Linked DNA regions of Lepisosteus oculatus. The protein of the gene in region 2 purifies or fractionates together with the protein of the main gene of each other region. This does not show direct contact. Links are inferred from orthologs where the notes say so. Each region holds a gene or a part of one and is shown on either strand. Other genes may lie near its edges.

Region 1 (7,005 bases), on a different chromosome or scaffold from region 2:
TATATGGCCAATAAAGTGATCTTATTGTCAACAAAATCTTAACAAGGACATCCATGAATATGATTAGATGTTAATCATGTAACAAAAATCATATTTGACATTATAGGTTGCTTGTCCGACTGTTTGACAGTGTATCACAAGCGAATATGGACCTGGATTCTATTCTCCCACATAGCTCTAAGAACACTTTGCCTAAGCTATTTAAATGACAGGTATGCTGTAATACATGCTCTCGATATGTGCAAAAAAATCAAGAAATATGGAAAACTATGTGCACATAGGTATTAAATTACCTACATGCATCATATAATCTATCTCCTAACATGCCCTTCATTTACAGCAGCACTCCAACAGAAGGAAAAGGACTGATTTTTTTGCATGCTATGTCTACTGTTACCGATACGACCCTGGGGGCGGGGGTGGGAGGGGTTTTTATGTTTGTGAGAGCCCCCCATTGCCAGGGAATCCAATCCAGCTGACAATGAGGTAATGAGCCTGTGTTTAAAGCCGGCCTGAAAGTTGATTTTGATTTCTTGTTGGGCCTATCTACCTCCCTGAGAATGTGGACTACCGCTTGCATAATTAACACAACAACAGCGCTGTGGACCACTGACATTTTGTTCATATATAGAAACGACAACCATGGTTCTTGGACCCTGAGGCCATGTAACTCATAAAGCCTTCAAGGTGGTTTTGTTTGCACAATCTGCTGGACACCTGCAGTGCTTGGTTAACTTCCTGGGCGCCTTGAAAGCAAGGCTGAAAGTGCTTGCCTGAGTGTAAAATGTACTCGACGATTACGGATTATGATTATGGACGATTACGGACCTTGTTCAGGTCACTAGCCGACTGTGACTGGGATTCTGGGCTTATGGTACGGGACAAGAGGAGAGATGAGATGGGAAGGAAACAAAGCAAAAGTGCACCCAGGTGACAAAACTAGGCCATTTTAGGCCTGTGGTTCTTTTCCTTGCCTGTCATGATGTGGGTCATGATTTAATCCCCAGCTGTTGCAGCTTTTAGGACTTGGGGTTCTGAGCCACGGAGAATAATGTCTCTTCTGATTTTCATTCCTTCCAAGTTCTTAATTACAGGCTTATTGATGTGTGTTTTCAACCTGTAGCATTATCTACATTATTAATTTTAACTCTTAAAGGGTCAAATGGGATATATAATTGGTTTCATCCCTGTGTCATTTTCTAAATTACAAAACATCCCTCTCACACAAAACTGGCATAAATCAGTTAGATCTAACTGGATCAGTGCAGAAGAAAGAAACGCTCACTGTGGGCGTTCATCAGCAACTGGTCGACTAGGAAGAGACCTTTAGTAAGAAACAATGTTCTGTGTACTGGAAGTGTTGGAAGCAGCACCCCTTGAGCTAAATAAAAATCTAAACAAGCAGGCAGATCCAATAAATCACCAATCAGCCCCTGATACTTCGAGTTCAACTGGAATATAATACAGAAGAGCGTTCCTCCAGAACCAGGGCTGGGAACCATTGGTTGAGGTATATGTATCATTTTAACACATACATTTTAACACAATCGGCTGTTCTCACATGTAATAAGTGATTAAGATTTCCATTTGTTTAGAGCTCAGCAAAGACCTCTACCTATTTTCCATATAAAAAATTAATCTATATGTTGATGGACCTATAACACACGCAATTGATTTTACATAGATGTTCACACTGCTGCAGTTCTCCTTCTTAATATTTGGATTCTAGTACACAAGAAAAATACTCAAGGTGAATTTTATTTTTCTTAAAAAAAAGGGTGGCAAATGTTTATTTAGAGAAAATCACTCAATAAAGTCAAAAATAATAACAGGCAAGTTGAAGAGTGTTCTGCTTTCTGAAAGTATTGGAAACAAGTTAAAGAATTTCTATACTGCAGAAAGAATTCCTAGAGTATTGATTAATCTTAGTATAACTGAGAATGAGGTATTGCTGCAAGCGGAATGACTACAATTTTTCACTTCCTCTCGGCCTGACTATTTTCCCAGTAGTTCTTTAGAAAAAGTGTCTGGATTGTTTCATAGACCTTTTACCAGTATAATTCACGTCATTAAGAATCGCACCAATTTCAGAATTGCAAATGTAACACCAATGCATAAAAAGCGGGACAAAATTAAACTAGGAAACTATAAGTCAATCAGTCTTATTTATGTTGCTGGCAATGTTACAGAAATGATAGCTGGAACTGAACTAAAAGAATTATTTAAAACATTTGCATTTTAAGAGACAGCCAACATGGATTTAGATGAAAGCCTCATTTAATTTACCAGCGACAAGGACAGTTGATCCACTATTGAAACCACTATAGAAAATGACATATTTAGACTACCAGAAAGTATTTGACAAGGTCGCTCATTAAAAGCTTTATTAAAAAAAACTCAATGTAAAAAAACGCACATAGATTGAAACTGGTTTAACAAACAAGAATTCTTATGCATTTATCCATCCTAAAATGCATAACCTATGAAAGGGGCTGATATTTATTTTTTATGATTTGTATAAGCAATTTGGATTTTGATATTAGCTAACAAAACAGTTAATGGTTGCATGACACAAAAACACAAGTGGCAAACACACAAACAGCAGCAAGAGAAGTACCAAGGGTTAAAAAAAATGGATTGGATTTTATGAAATTTAAAAGTAACATTGAAGCACAAACATTTACTATGCATGTACATCCCACATGGGTGATTTGGAGCTGCAGGGAGTTACACAAAAGAAGCATCTGGTTGTTTATGTGAATTATTTTTCAGCTACATCAAAATAACATGAGGAAGCAAAGAAAAGTTAATGGAATACTTGGGGTGCATAGGAAAAAGTGTGGGATTCAAACAGTGTAATTATGAACCATCTTTAAAATTCTTTAGTAAGACATCTACAATATTCTAGCTCCTAGAGGCAATTTGCTACAAGTATACAAAACGCCAAGGGGTTTAGATAAGACTATTTTTCAGGTATTAACAAAACCAGATCACAGTTGAAAAAAAAAGGAATGTATTGAGAGGAAAACAGGACCCATTTCTCCAAACTTGTGTCCAGAGCATATGCTCTCCATCCTTTTGTTGAGAACAAAAGTTATGCCTTTTGAAAATAAGATCTCAAACAAGGATGGACACAACGGCCACCTCTTGCTTGCAGCTGTGCGTACAAAGCACCATATTTCACTTTACTGTTTCTTTACGAGTTTCACACACTCACGTTTTACGCTGCCTTTTGCTCAGAAAGGGATGAATTTCCAAGTTACACATTACAGATTGCTTTACTAATATCGACGGCACCTTCAGTTTAAAAAAACTCATTTTAAATCGCAATCTGTGTGGGAACCATGAAAACGAACGACCCCCCCCCCCCCCCACAAACAAAAATGGGTAAAACAAGATAATGGCGTTTTTGTTATAGTGAAAAAAGGGTTTCTAACTGCACAACCGCAGTTTGGCACTTCCCCCTAACCGAGCATTTTACTGAATCAATAACCAAGAAATAACTTCGCCTTTTACACCGAGCATTTTACTAAATCACGAACCAAGAAATAACTTCGCCTTTTACCATCACAACCAGCGCACCTCAAACTATCTACGCTGTAACCAAAAAATGGGGCACAGTCATCGCAATTACTCGTATATGTAGCTGGACCTACTAACCTGCTGTATAATTAAGGCCGCCTTTTGCAATACCACACGGAAAATGGCAGGACTCTCATCCAATCGTGGCATCGGAAAGGTAAAACGTCACCCTATTGAATGGACTGCCCACCAATCCATGCGAGAGGGCAGAACGAGCGAAGTTGTGTGTGTTTTTTCTATCCTTGCCGTTTTGTAAGTTTGTATGAGAGGCGCGGAGCTCCAGAGAAAGGAACCCCAAGACATCCACAGACAAGGCTGGTCACATGACGCGGCGGGCGCTCCTCATTGGCTGCGGCAGGCAGAGGGGAGGGCGTACCGACGGCGGCGGCGTGGGTTCGCCTGTGTGACACAATTACAACAACTTTGAGCTGGTGGTTTGGGGGGAAGTTTGTGATATTAACCAAATAACACCCCGTTTTGAAAAACCCCGCATTCATAGCACTCCATGCACAACAACGCTCTCGGTTGCATACAGATATTTTTTGTATAAAACAATGTAAAAAAAAAAAGAAGACCATTTTGGAGGGTTTCTTTTTTTTTTTTTTGCTCTCCTGTAAAAAGGATTTACTGTTTATTTTTTTTTTTTTGCATTTTTTTTTTTCAATCCTGGAAATAAAAAAGTTGGTTTTCCCTCTCCCGATTTTTTTTGGCTTCGCTGTTTTGTTTTGGTGGAGGTTTTTCGTTGGCTGCCCCCCCGGTGCGTTCCCATGAAATCGTGCGGAGTGTCGCTCGCCGCCGCCGCCTGCGCTGCTGCTCGAAGTCTCGGCGCTACTGCTGGTGATGAGGAAAAGAAAATGGCGGCGGGAAAAGCGATTGAAACCGAAGAGGACTTTCCGAGGCTGACAGCGCAGGAGAGGGACACCCTGGCCGGGATAGACAGGTCAGAAAAGGGCGCGGTGCGGGGAAAATGCCGCTTTTTCTCTTCTTCCTGGCGTTCCGCGGTGGTGGTGGTCTTCTTTTCCCCCCCCAAAAAAACGAGTGAATTTAAACCCGCTTGGTTATTTTTTGCAAAACCTCCCGAGTTAACGCGGAGCCGCCTGTGTGTTGTTTTCTGTTTTACAGCCGGCTGTTTGGATTTCAGAGGCTTCATGAAGATGGCGCCAGAACGAAGGCCTTGCTATTAAAGGTATTTGAAGAATATCGGACCCGAGAAGGCCTTCCCCCCCTTAAACTCCCGTTAGTGCATTTTGTACCTGGGAGGCACCTAGTTTAAAGCGCTTTAAGAGAAAAGAGGTCGACCTCATGGCGATGCGCCCCCCGTGCATTAAAAATTGGTGTGTTTTGCACCCTCTCCCCAGTCTTGCACATTTGCAGAGCTGTGGGAGATCGGGAGTGGGACTCTTATTTTGGGGCATTTAATTTTTCAGGGTAGCAATGTTTGCAGCGGTGACGTTGTTAGTGTTATTGTGCGTGTGTGTTTTTAACATGGAAAAGTAGTGACTACATCAGGACCTTCGTGCATCTCACCAGGCTGCGCGGTTCCGTTTCCCTGTTTTTTTTTTGGGGAGGGGGACAGTTTTGGCAAACTGGTCCTCGGATGTTGATGTAGGATCTGTAAAAATGGGTCAGTCATATTTGGGAGCCACGTCCAGTTTGTGGCGATATTACGGATTGTTAGATGGCTGTGCGGTTTAGATTGCAGTTGGATTTGTGTTATTGAACCTGAATTCGCGACGAGGGGAATTAGGATCTTTATTTTAAATCCTTTCACCGCCCCCCCCCCCATGACTTTAGCTCAAGCTAAAAGCAGAAATTGTTGCGGTTATTTGGTGCTTTCCAGCAGTTGCGTTCCCTGGATGTTATTTACATGGCCGTGTCGTGCAGTTAGCTGTACCCGCCACCCAGCCGTGCCTGTCGTCGCGGTTTGCTTGACAGTAAATAAGTAAAAACTTGTTGACCGTGTTCGTGTGGAAGGGATGCTGTCTTACGAGGGGGGGAGAGGGGGTTTGCGACGAAGTTGTTGGTTCTGTTTTTAAACATAGTTAGTAATGGCTGCTTGAATCGGCCCAAGATGGCGGGACGGGGAGGAGAAAAAAGTGAGAGAGAAATAGAGGCAGGGGAGCTAAATTATCGAATATATCAAGCCTGTTGAGAGACATTGGGCGGCGAGTTCGGTTTCTCTCCGTTTATTTTTATACTTTTTACGTCGTTTTCACCCACGGTATTTTGCGTTTTATTTACAAAAAAAAAAACCCCGACGGGGACGGCTTGCTTGTGTGCTGCGTTTGCTGTGCGCGTGCCACCCCCTGCTCTCGGCACCTATCGCATCATCAACCTGTAGCACATTGGACACCGAACAAAGGCTACCGGGGGGTCCGTTTTTGGAGGTTCCCATTTTTTCCTCACTCTAAAAGAATGCACGATGCAGGTGCACAGTTTTTGCAAACCCCCCCCCCCCCCCAGTCTGTTTCACTCGTCTGTTGAGTCGTGCTCAGGAGGTCTGGAAGGTCTGGGCCTCTTTCGTGTGCCATGATATTATATTCTTCGGGGTGAGGGTGCCTTAAGTGTAGACCCAATTATTCATGAGGCAGGGCAACTTCAGTTTTTTTTTCCCCCGCGCAGGCTGTAACCAATGCGGTTAACGTTTAGTTTCGCTATGCACCAATACTGGCACGTATGGTGCGACTGAACCAGTTTTGAAATTCGTGGACTTGTGTGTGAGAAATACGCTCTTGTAGGATTTGTCCTCATGCCCCGATATGTAAATTAAAAGGCGTCGGTGGTGCTCGAAGCCATTGTTTTTAACTACGGATTGTGTTTCCAGTTTTAGGGTTGTATTAACGATGCACACTAATTCTAGTCAGAGTAGGATATCACTTCCGTATTTGGGAATCTATAAACGAAACGGAAGGATAAACATTAGGGGAAAGATGGGCGTCATTTAGTCACACAAATGTCCCTTTTATCGAATTGTTGTTTTGTTGCGTGTTTGTGCTTGAACGCCAAGCCTTTGGATTAGCTTTGGTGAACGTTCACTTTAAATGAGCCCAGAATTTGGGGTTTTATTTCCAGGTACAATTTTGCCATGTTGTTACTTTTGCTGTCTTGGTGAAAATAACCTCGCAGGTTTTATGGTTTCAAAAAAGATGTGTGGATGAGGCAGCAAAACCTTACTGCAGAACAGTGCGAACACGTTGGTAGAAAATTATTGCTGTTTGACCAGGAGTGTCTCTTCATAGCACATTGAGGTCCTGGGCGCCTGGAAAGTGTTGATTCTCTTACTGTGTGTAGTTTTCATTAAAAGTTTTAAATGTAAAACTACTGCTACAGTGGTCTTTATGAATCATTGGTAGGCCACCAAATGTCTGTGTTAGTCTTAAGCAATAGGGAGGATGGGATTACATTAAAATTAAAATGATGGAT
Region 2 (6,928 bases):
CCAACTGTCCAGCCTGGGGAAGTAGAGGGCTTCGGGTTCAAATGGGATACATTTGTACAGTACAGTATGCACTGTGGAGAGGTGATGTCAAATATTTTTCATCAACAAAAACAAAACTAACATCCAAGACTACAGAATCAGAGAAACAAGTTAGCAGTTTAAAATGTAATTTGTTAATACCTTCAGTTTCTTTCACAAATCCGCTGTGTAATCTCCCTTCTGCTTTCTTTGCTTATTCCAGCAGTCAGGTGAGATTCCTCCCTAAGTGCACTGACAGACGCGGAGTTGATTGGCTGGAGTGACACCACAATGCCAATGAGAATGGACAGACTAACTTTCAAATAATATATTTAATATGTATCACAAAGTGATGCAATCTGATGCAGAGTTTTAATACTTAGATGAGTAAACATGACGGGTTCTGTGAAAAAGCCTTTCATTATTTAACTTTTTTTTTCTTCATTCCCTCTGGATGAAGAGCTTTTGTCCCATAAAATGTAAGTTAACACTAAACCTGATTTTCTAAAGGGGCAAAAACAATTTAGTCTACACTTTCTAATTAGAGTTTGCGTCTTTGAATCATTGGGTATCAATCATTTTCAAACATTGGTCATTCATCTTTAGGAGATTTTATGACATCAAAATTAATAAAAATCAGACAAAATCCACTTTTTATTTGAGCTCTTTTGGCTTCATGTTTAAGAATAAGGATGATAAAGAATAAAAAAGAGTGTAGTTTACATTGCCCATTGGATGTATAGTCTTTACCTTTGTGAAATAATGTATGCTGAGCTAGAACATCATCAGGAGAATGACTTGAGGCAATGATACATGACTGAACAGACATGACATGAGTACTGGAAATTCAGTTTACGTTTGTCCTCAACAGGCTTGATCAACAGAGGAGTTACAGTCACATGCAAATAGCGTGTGGACACCACACGAAGCAGTACAAAACTGCAACATTTTTAGAGCCAGGTTGCAGATGCTGTTTTGTGGAATTGTGTTGAGATTCGACAAGTTCACTGATCGCTTGTTCACTGTTCTCTGAACCCTAGATGCCAGGTCACCCCACAAACGTTCAGTGGGGCTACTGTATGGTGAGTAGGGTATCCATGATGCAGCAGGTTGCAGATGCTGTCTTCTGTGATTGTGTCCCATTTCTCTTATACCACCTGGACAAGCACGTGTCCCTTCTCTTGTTTCTGAGCCCTAGTTACCACTCACTATCCCAATTCATCTGAACAAACATTCAATGGGACTCAAGTCTATCAGGTAGGGCATCCATGCCATCACTGTCTCGTTCTTATTTGCACACTAGTAGCATGAGAAGGTGCTTCACCTGGTTACAATCTTGTCATGTCAGGGTGAGCCCACAAGCAGGGCAGCAAGTAAGGAACTTGATCACCACAGCACCGTGCATACACACTGCCAACAATCACTACAAGTGGAGCTCTGTAGTGAACAGTCCTCCTCAGACCATGACAGCTGGACCCCCTGATCCAGATTGTGTTTAGTGGCCTCGAAGATCACGGCTTACTGTTGACAGACTGTGCTTCTCTGTGGTGTTTTGCCAGGTTATAAATGCCCGATAGCAAACACCTCAGACGCTAAGGAATAAGCAAAAACTATGTCACAGTCAATTGTGAACAATCAAAGTAACACCAAAACATTTCGGAAATATCAAACACCCATATGCTTTATGTTTCTAAAAAAAACATAAGTTGATTTCTTTTGGTGCGATTTTTCAGATGGTAGGGTGAGAGGATTGATTCACTGCCAAAGACCCATGTGCCAAATTTTCAAGATTAACACAATTCACATTTTTAAGCTTGAAAAAAAAAAATGAATTCATCTCTTCTGAATTCAGACAGCTAAAGGAAAACGTACAAGTTAAAACACAGTTCTTATGAACTAAGAAATTCAGAAATTCAATTTTGCACTCATTCTAGAACACAAATCCTGGCCACACCCAGGAAGGGGGCAAAAAGTCAATATTCCATATGATAAAACATTTAGAAGCCCTAAACAGAGACTATAAAACCTGAAAATCTATTTTTAAAGTAAACAGAAAGACGTTTAACAGCTCTAAATACTAATTAGCTTATATGTTTCATGTTCACTCCCATATTGCTCTGGTAAGTCTGTTTGGAGCTTTCACTGAATCATGAATGGCAAAGTCAAATCTCTGAATATTTACAATAACAATTCAGAAAGATCAACATACATATGCACACAGACATAAATGTATCATTCATGAAGCACAAGGAGCTGAGTATGCAAACCCCAACACTAACAAGAAGAGCAGTTTCCTAGACATCATGGCTGGTTGATAATTGCCCCTTTTCAGGCTGGTGACCCAAAAAGCAGCAGACAATTATCAAACAACCCCGCTACAAATGGACAGCTTGTTTCATTTCGTCTCTCCCTCTGACAAAAGACTCACTCCTTTCTCTCAATGAGTAGCAGCAGAGAGGCGGCAGACCACTAGAAATCTCAAAGCATCCATTAAGAGCGCTCACCGGTTCAAAGCAAACCTACAGTTGCCAGGACAGCCAGTAAATCACCTGATCCCATTACAAAATCAATTACTGCAGTGCATTTCCATTGCTACGCTGCCTGATGATGGCAAAATGATATTGGATAGTTACTGCAAGGTCAGGCATTAACCGATCATGTATACGTCCTCCCCGATTGCGACCTTATTTTAATATTCGCAGCACAATGGCGAAATGAACAAACTCGTGTCCGAAAACAGCACAACCCCAAAGTTGTTGTTTTTTTTAGCGGGACTCGCGCGATGAGAGCCCTTAGCAACAGTGGCGGACGCTGGCTTGCTGCGGCTTTACCTTGGGCTGTTTGGGACATCCGGTGGCCAGCCGCTGCAGGTGCTCTGAGGTGTGGCTGCAGGAGAGCAGGTCAGAGCAGCACGTGGAGCGGCCCAGCCTCTTCATCAAGGACGAGATAATGCTGCAGCCACAGCCGCACATTGACTTGCTCATCAGGGGCTGTGCTGCTCCAAGGAAAATAGTCAAAGGGATGCTCGCTGCCGAGGCTCCTGCTTCTATTTTTAGTTCTTTTCCTAATTTCTTTTCTTTCTCCTTTAAGCTGCCGATGCCCAGTTCCAAAGCTCGCTTCTCTGCCTCAGCTGCCCCACTTCTGGGAACGGCTCACATCCCCTGCTACAGTCGTCTGGCCCCCAGCCAGCATGCCACACAGCAAGCAAAACACCTGATGCTTCCCAGTGAGAACCTCTCCTTGCCGAGCAGCAGAATTATCCCCTGGGTGAAACTTGGAAGTTCTGAGATCCAAGGTGAGAGGCAGGTTTTGTTTTTCCCCCATAGGCAGGTACCGCTCTGTGGGTTCCCTGTGAGGCCCAGCACACCTCACCTTACTCCTGGCAATCTTCACTCAGCTGCTACTGTACTCCATCCATTCAACCTGTTTCTTCCCCCACACCCCCCCCTCCCCACACACTCCGACTTCCCTTCTTCCTTTCCCAGCACCCAGCCACACCCCTTCTCCTTCTACTCCTCCTCCAGGCTACAGATCCCTCTAAGCCCAGCCAGAGGAGCTACTGATGCTGCTGCCGTTTCCTCTCCTTCCTAGCTGCTGCTGTGTCTGCTGCTACTACATTCTTCTGATGCTGAAAAGCAATAAGGAGCCCCGGATAAATCCTCCGGCTCGCCAATCAAGCCTGCTGCCCTTTTCATGACACTAACGCTCCCAGGGACCCGTCAATCACCCAGCAGCCATAATGACATGCGAGGAAACCAAGCCACTTGACTCCCTCCTGGGCTTCGAAGTGGCAAGCATCAGATGGCTAAAAGCAAGCAGCAAACAAAGAGTTAAATCAAGGCTCCTCTCTGCCGCGGTTTGTCATTATTGCCCGCCACTCTGGCCAAGCGACTCAGCTTGCAGGTGACAAGACAGCAAATGCTACCCCCAATACCGAACTGCCTGCATAGCATCACATGTTCCTTTTAACAGAAAAAGGATTATGCAGCTCAATTTGTAGCCAAAGTAACAATGTCTGCTACTTACAGTAATAACAAGCGCATAACCTCACAACCCAAAGAAAAAGGAAACGGAGTGAACAAGAGCCAAGCTACCCGCAGATCTTAAGCAGAAGCAGATTACTTTAACCACTAAAGTGCTCCGAGCTGCTCCTCCTGCTCCGCATCCTGCTAATTCACCTCAGCAGCCTTGAAAGGCACGGGGCTCACCTTATCAGAGGTCTAACTTGACACTCCAGAGAAAGTCATTTCTTCCAAACTGCGATCTCATGCCCATTTCCATATATTTATACCGACATCAAGGTCACAAAAACAAATAAAGTGATAAAAAGACTTAAAGCACCGAACATAATGACTGGAAATACAGAGAAAATGAGCATCAGCAGGCACAGTAGCTGAAAAATAAGATCGTGGTTCAAGTTGTGGCACTTTGCCAGCGGTCTATAAATAGCAATGTACTCTCATTCAGCAAGGAGCCTGTTTAAAATAGTTTCATGGTAAAAGGACAGATCTAGATGCTGAAGCTAAAAAACACGAGGGCAGCTTTTCACAGGACAGGAGAGCTCACAGGTCTTTCTTTTATCTTTGAATTGAACAGTTGTTCCAACCAGGTAAGCAGTGTTACTACTGACTCCTACAAAGAGGACGTTCTCTCCACACTTGAGGTGTCTGTCTGTCTTTTCCGATTTCAATCTGTCAGAGTTCTTGGTGAAGTCCCAAGAGATTTACACAGCAGCCTACGCCACTCGCAGTAAACAGCAGCCGCAGATTGGGATTTGGACTATAAACAAGTAAACAGCACAGAAAGTCTCTTTCCCGTTTAAATCCAAGATGCTGTCTCGCAGGCTGCACCGAGTCTGACAGGATCGCGTGGAGACTTGAAGGGAGGTGACTTGCGCCAAGAACGATCGCCCCTCTCTGTCTCAATTCCTGCTGTCTTCATTCAGATCCTAGATCCAGCACACGCTTGGCTTTACTGCTAAAAGAGGCAAGACTATCGCTGAAAGCAAGAACTCTCAGAGTGATTTATTACCATAAAACAGAGTGTACAAAAGAAGCTGATGACAGCCTTGTTCAGACATTTAATGAAAAAAGGAAACCGTATATTAACCATTTGAGTGGACTGACAGAGAAATAAAGGTGCTTTAAAGAGATGCTATAGTCCATTTTTAAGAAATGTTTTGAAATTCCCATCAACAAATGTAAAACAGGGATTTGAGATAGGGATGCTGCCTTATGTTCCATCCAGTACTGACACAGGTTACTTAAATTAAAGGTACTGTAGCAGTACCTCGGACAGCTTCTAAAGGCCTGCCCATCTTATTTAAATTAGTACTTTGTGCATGAAAAACCGAATTATTTTTTATCACAGTATGAATTTTCTCTTCAAGATAATAAGGAATTTTAAGGGTTCCACTTAATCTTTTTTTCAAATCCTAAAGCATGAGGATCAGAATCTTTCCAATTTTTAAACTACTGTATAGTGCCAGTATGAGTGTGGTTTAGGCAATAATTACATGACGTGTATCAGTGATGAAATGCATATGTCCATATTACACAAATATGCTTGTACAGATCCCTACCAAACAACCATTTAAACCAACAGTAAACCAACAGTACAGTAAATAGGTTATGCCAGACCACACTGAGAACAAAACTGATCGTACTTGAATAAGGCTGTATCCAGTAATCACACATGCTCTTATTAAAGGATTAAGAGACCATTTGTATTGAAGCATTATAATAAAAGTGAATAAATGTGCTATGTTGCTCGGTGCATTTAAAACGACAGGGGTCTACACCCAGCAAAAAATGGTAACCAGTTTAAGGAATACCTCACAGACACCTTATCCATGATCAATTGGGCATGGGAAATAAAAATCACTGTAACTGAAAAATCCTTTTAAAAAACTGCCTAATTTTAATTTCAAAATTAGTTTAGAATGAACAAGGAATAATTAAAGATAACTGGGAAATGACTGGGACTCGACTGTTACCCCTTTTCACAAAAACATTTGATCACAGATCTGTGAACATATCACATTATTTCAAATCCCATCCATCTAAGAAGCAGCTGATTGAACAGCATTTCCTATTACTAATGTCTCCAAAGCACAAGAAAAAGCAAGCGGTCACTAGTTTAATACACAATGACCCTGAAAAGGTTACCAGTTTCAACCATAGCAGCCTTAAGAAACTGCTGTGTGAAACAGCAATGAATTCTGAACACACAGTTGTGTTCCCACACAGGTCAAAAGAAAGTACAACTTCTCATGCTGTCAACATATTCTGTTTAAACTAGAACACCACTCCAAATTAATCTGAGCACATCACCCATCCTTTAGCAGCTCAATTTTCCCCCCCAACTTTCCTATTCCACAGCCTCGAATGAGAAACAAGGTCAAATGGTCCCTTATTCATTATTTAGAAATATTGTTTTCCATGGTGTCAGCTCTCCAATACATTATCGATCAGCACAGGATGTGTGCTCAGAGCCCGCTGCAATCGCAGGATTTTAATAGCAGGCTGTCCTGCAAGAGTGAGGAATGCATTTCAGGTCTGTGGCGCGGAGAAGGCCGGGGAGACGGTATTAATACCGCCGCACAACAAAGCTACGAGCTCATCAATCACAGGCCGAGCGCGGCAAACAGGATGCCAGCCGAGGTGAGGAGAGGCGCGGACAGAAGGGCGACCTGCCCCCCGGTCACTCCTGCTTCTTCACAAACAGCTTGATTGATCCAAACCTCCACTGCAGCCGCATCGAATCAGTCTCCGAGGTTAGTCTGTGTTTTACCGAGACCACCGCTAGAAGAGAGTAGATCCGTGCAATAGGCTTACACAGAGAAAGGCACCTCTCAAGCTCGCTGACTCATCAGCAGGGTGCAATACCGCACCGGATCGCCCCACATGGC

What was found. The genes of interacting proteins can lie anywhere in the genome.
Region 1: the proteins of fbxw7 (region 2) and kdm6a purify together in Homo sapiens (affinity purification with mass spectrometry; 3 studies listed by BioGRID and IntAct, with this or other methods). This does not show direct contact. The link is inferred for Lepisosteus oculatus from reciprocal best matches to the Homo sapiens genes FBXW7 and KDM6A.

The regions. Positions count from the first base shown.
Region 1 is NC_090710.1:3,601,555-3,608,559, reverse strand, and holds the start of kdm6a (lysine-specific demethylase 6A), read left to right. Parts: upstream 1-3,984; 5' UTR 3,985-4,349; coding exon 4,350-4,522; intron 4,523-4,704; coding exon 4,705-4,768; intron 4,769-7,005. UniProt on the Homo sapiens protein: Histone demethylase that specifically demethylates 'Lys-27' of histone H3, thereby playing a central role in histone code. Demethylates trimethylated and dimethylated but not monomethylated H3 'Lys-27'.
Region 2 is NC_090696.1:25,227,663-25,234,590, reverse strand, and holds the start of fbxw7 (F-box/WD repeat-containing protein 7), read right to left. Parts: upstream 3,018-6,928; 5' UTR 3,003-3,017; coding exon 2,850-3,002; intron 1-2,849. UniProt on the Homo sapiens protein: Substrate recognition component of a SCF (SKP1-CUL1-F-box protein) E3 ubiquitin-protein ligase complex which mediates the ubiquitination and subsequent proteasomal degradation of target proteins.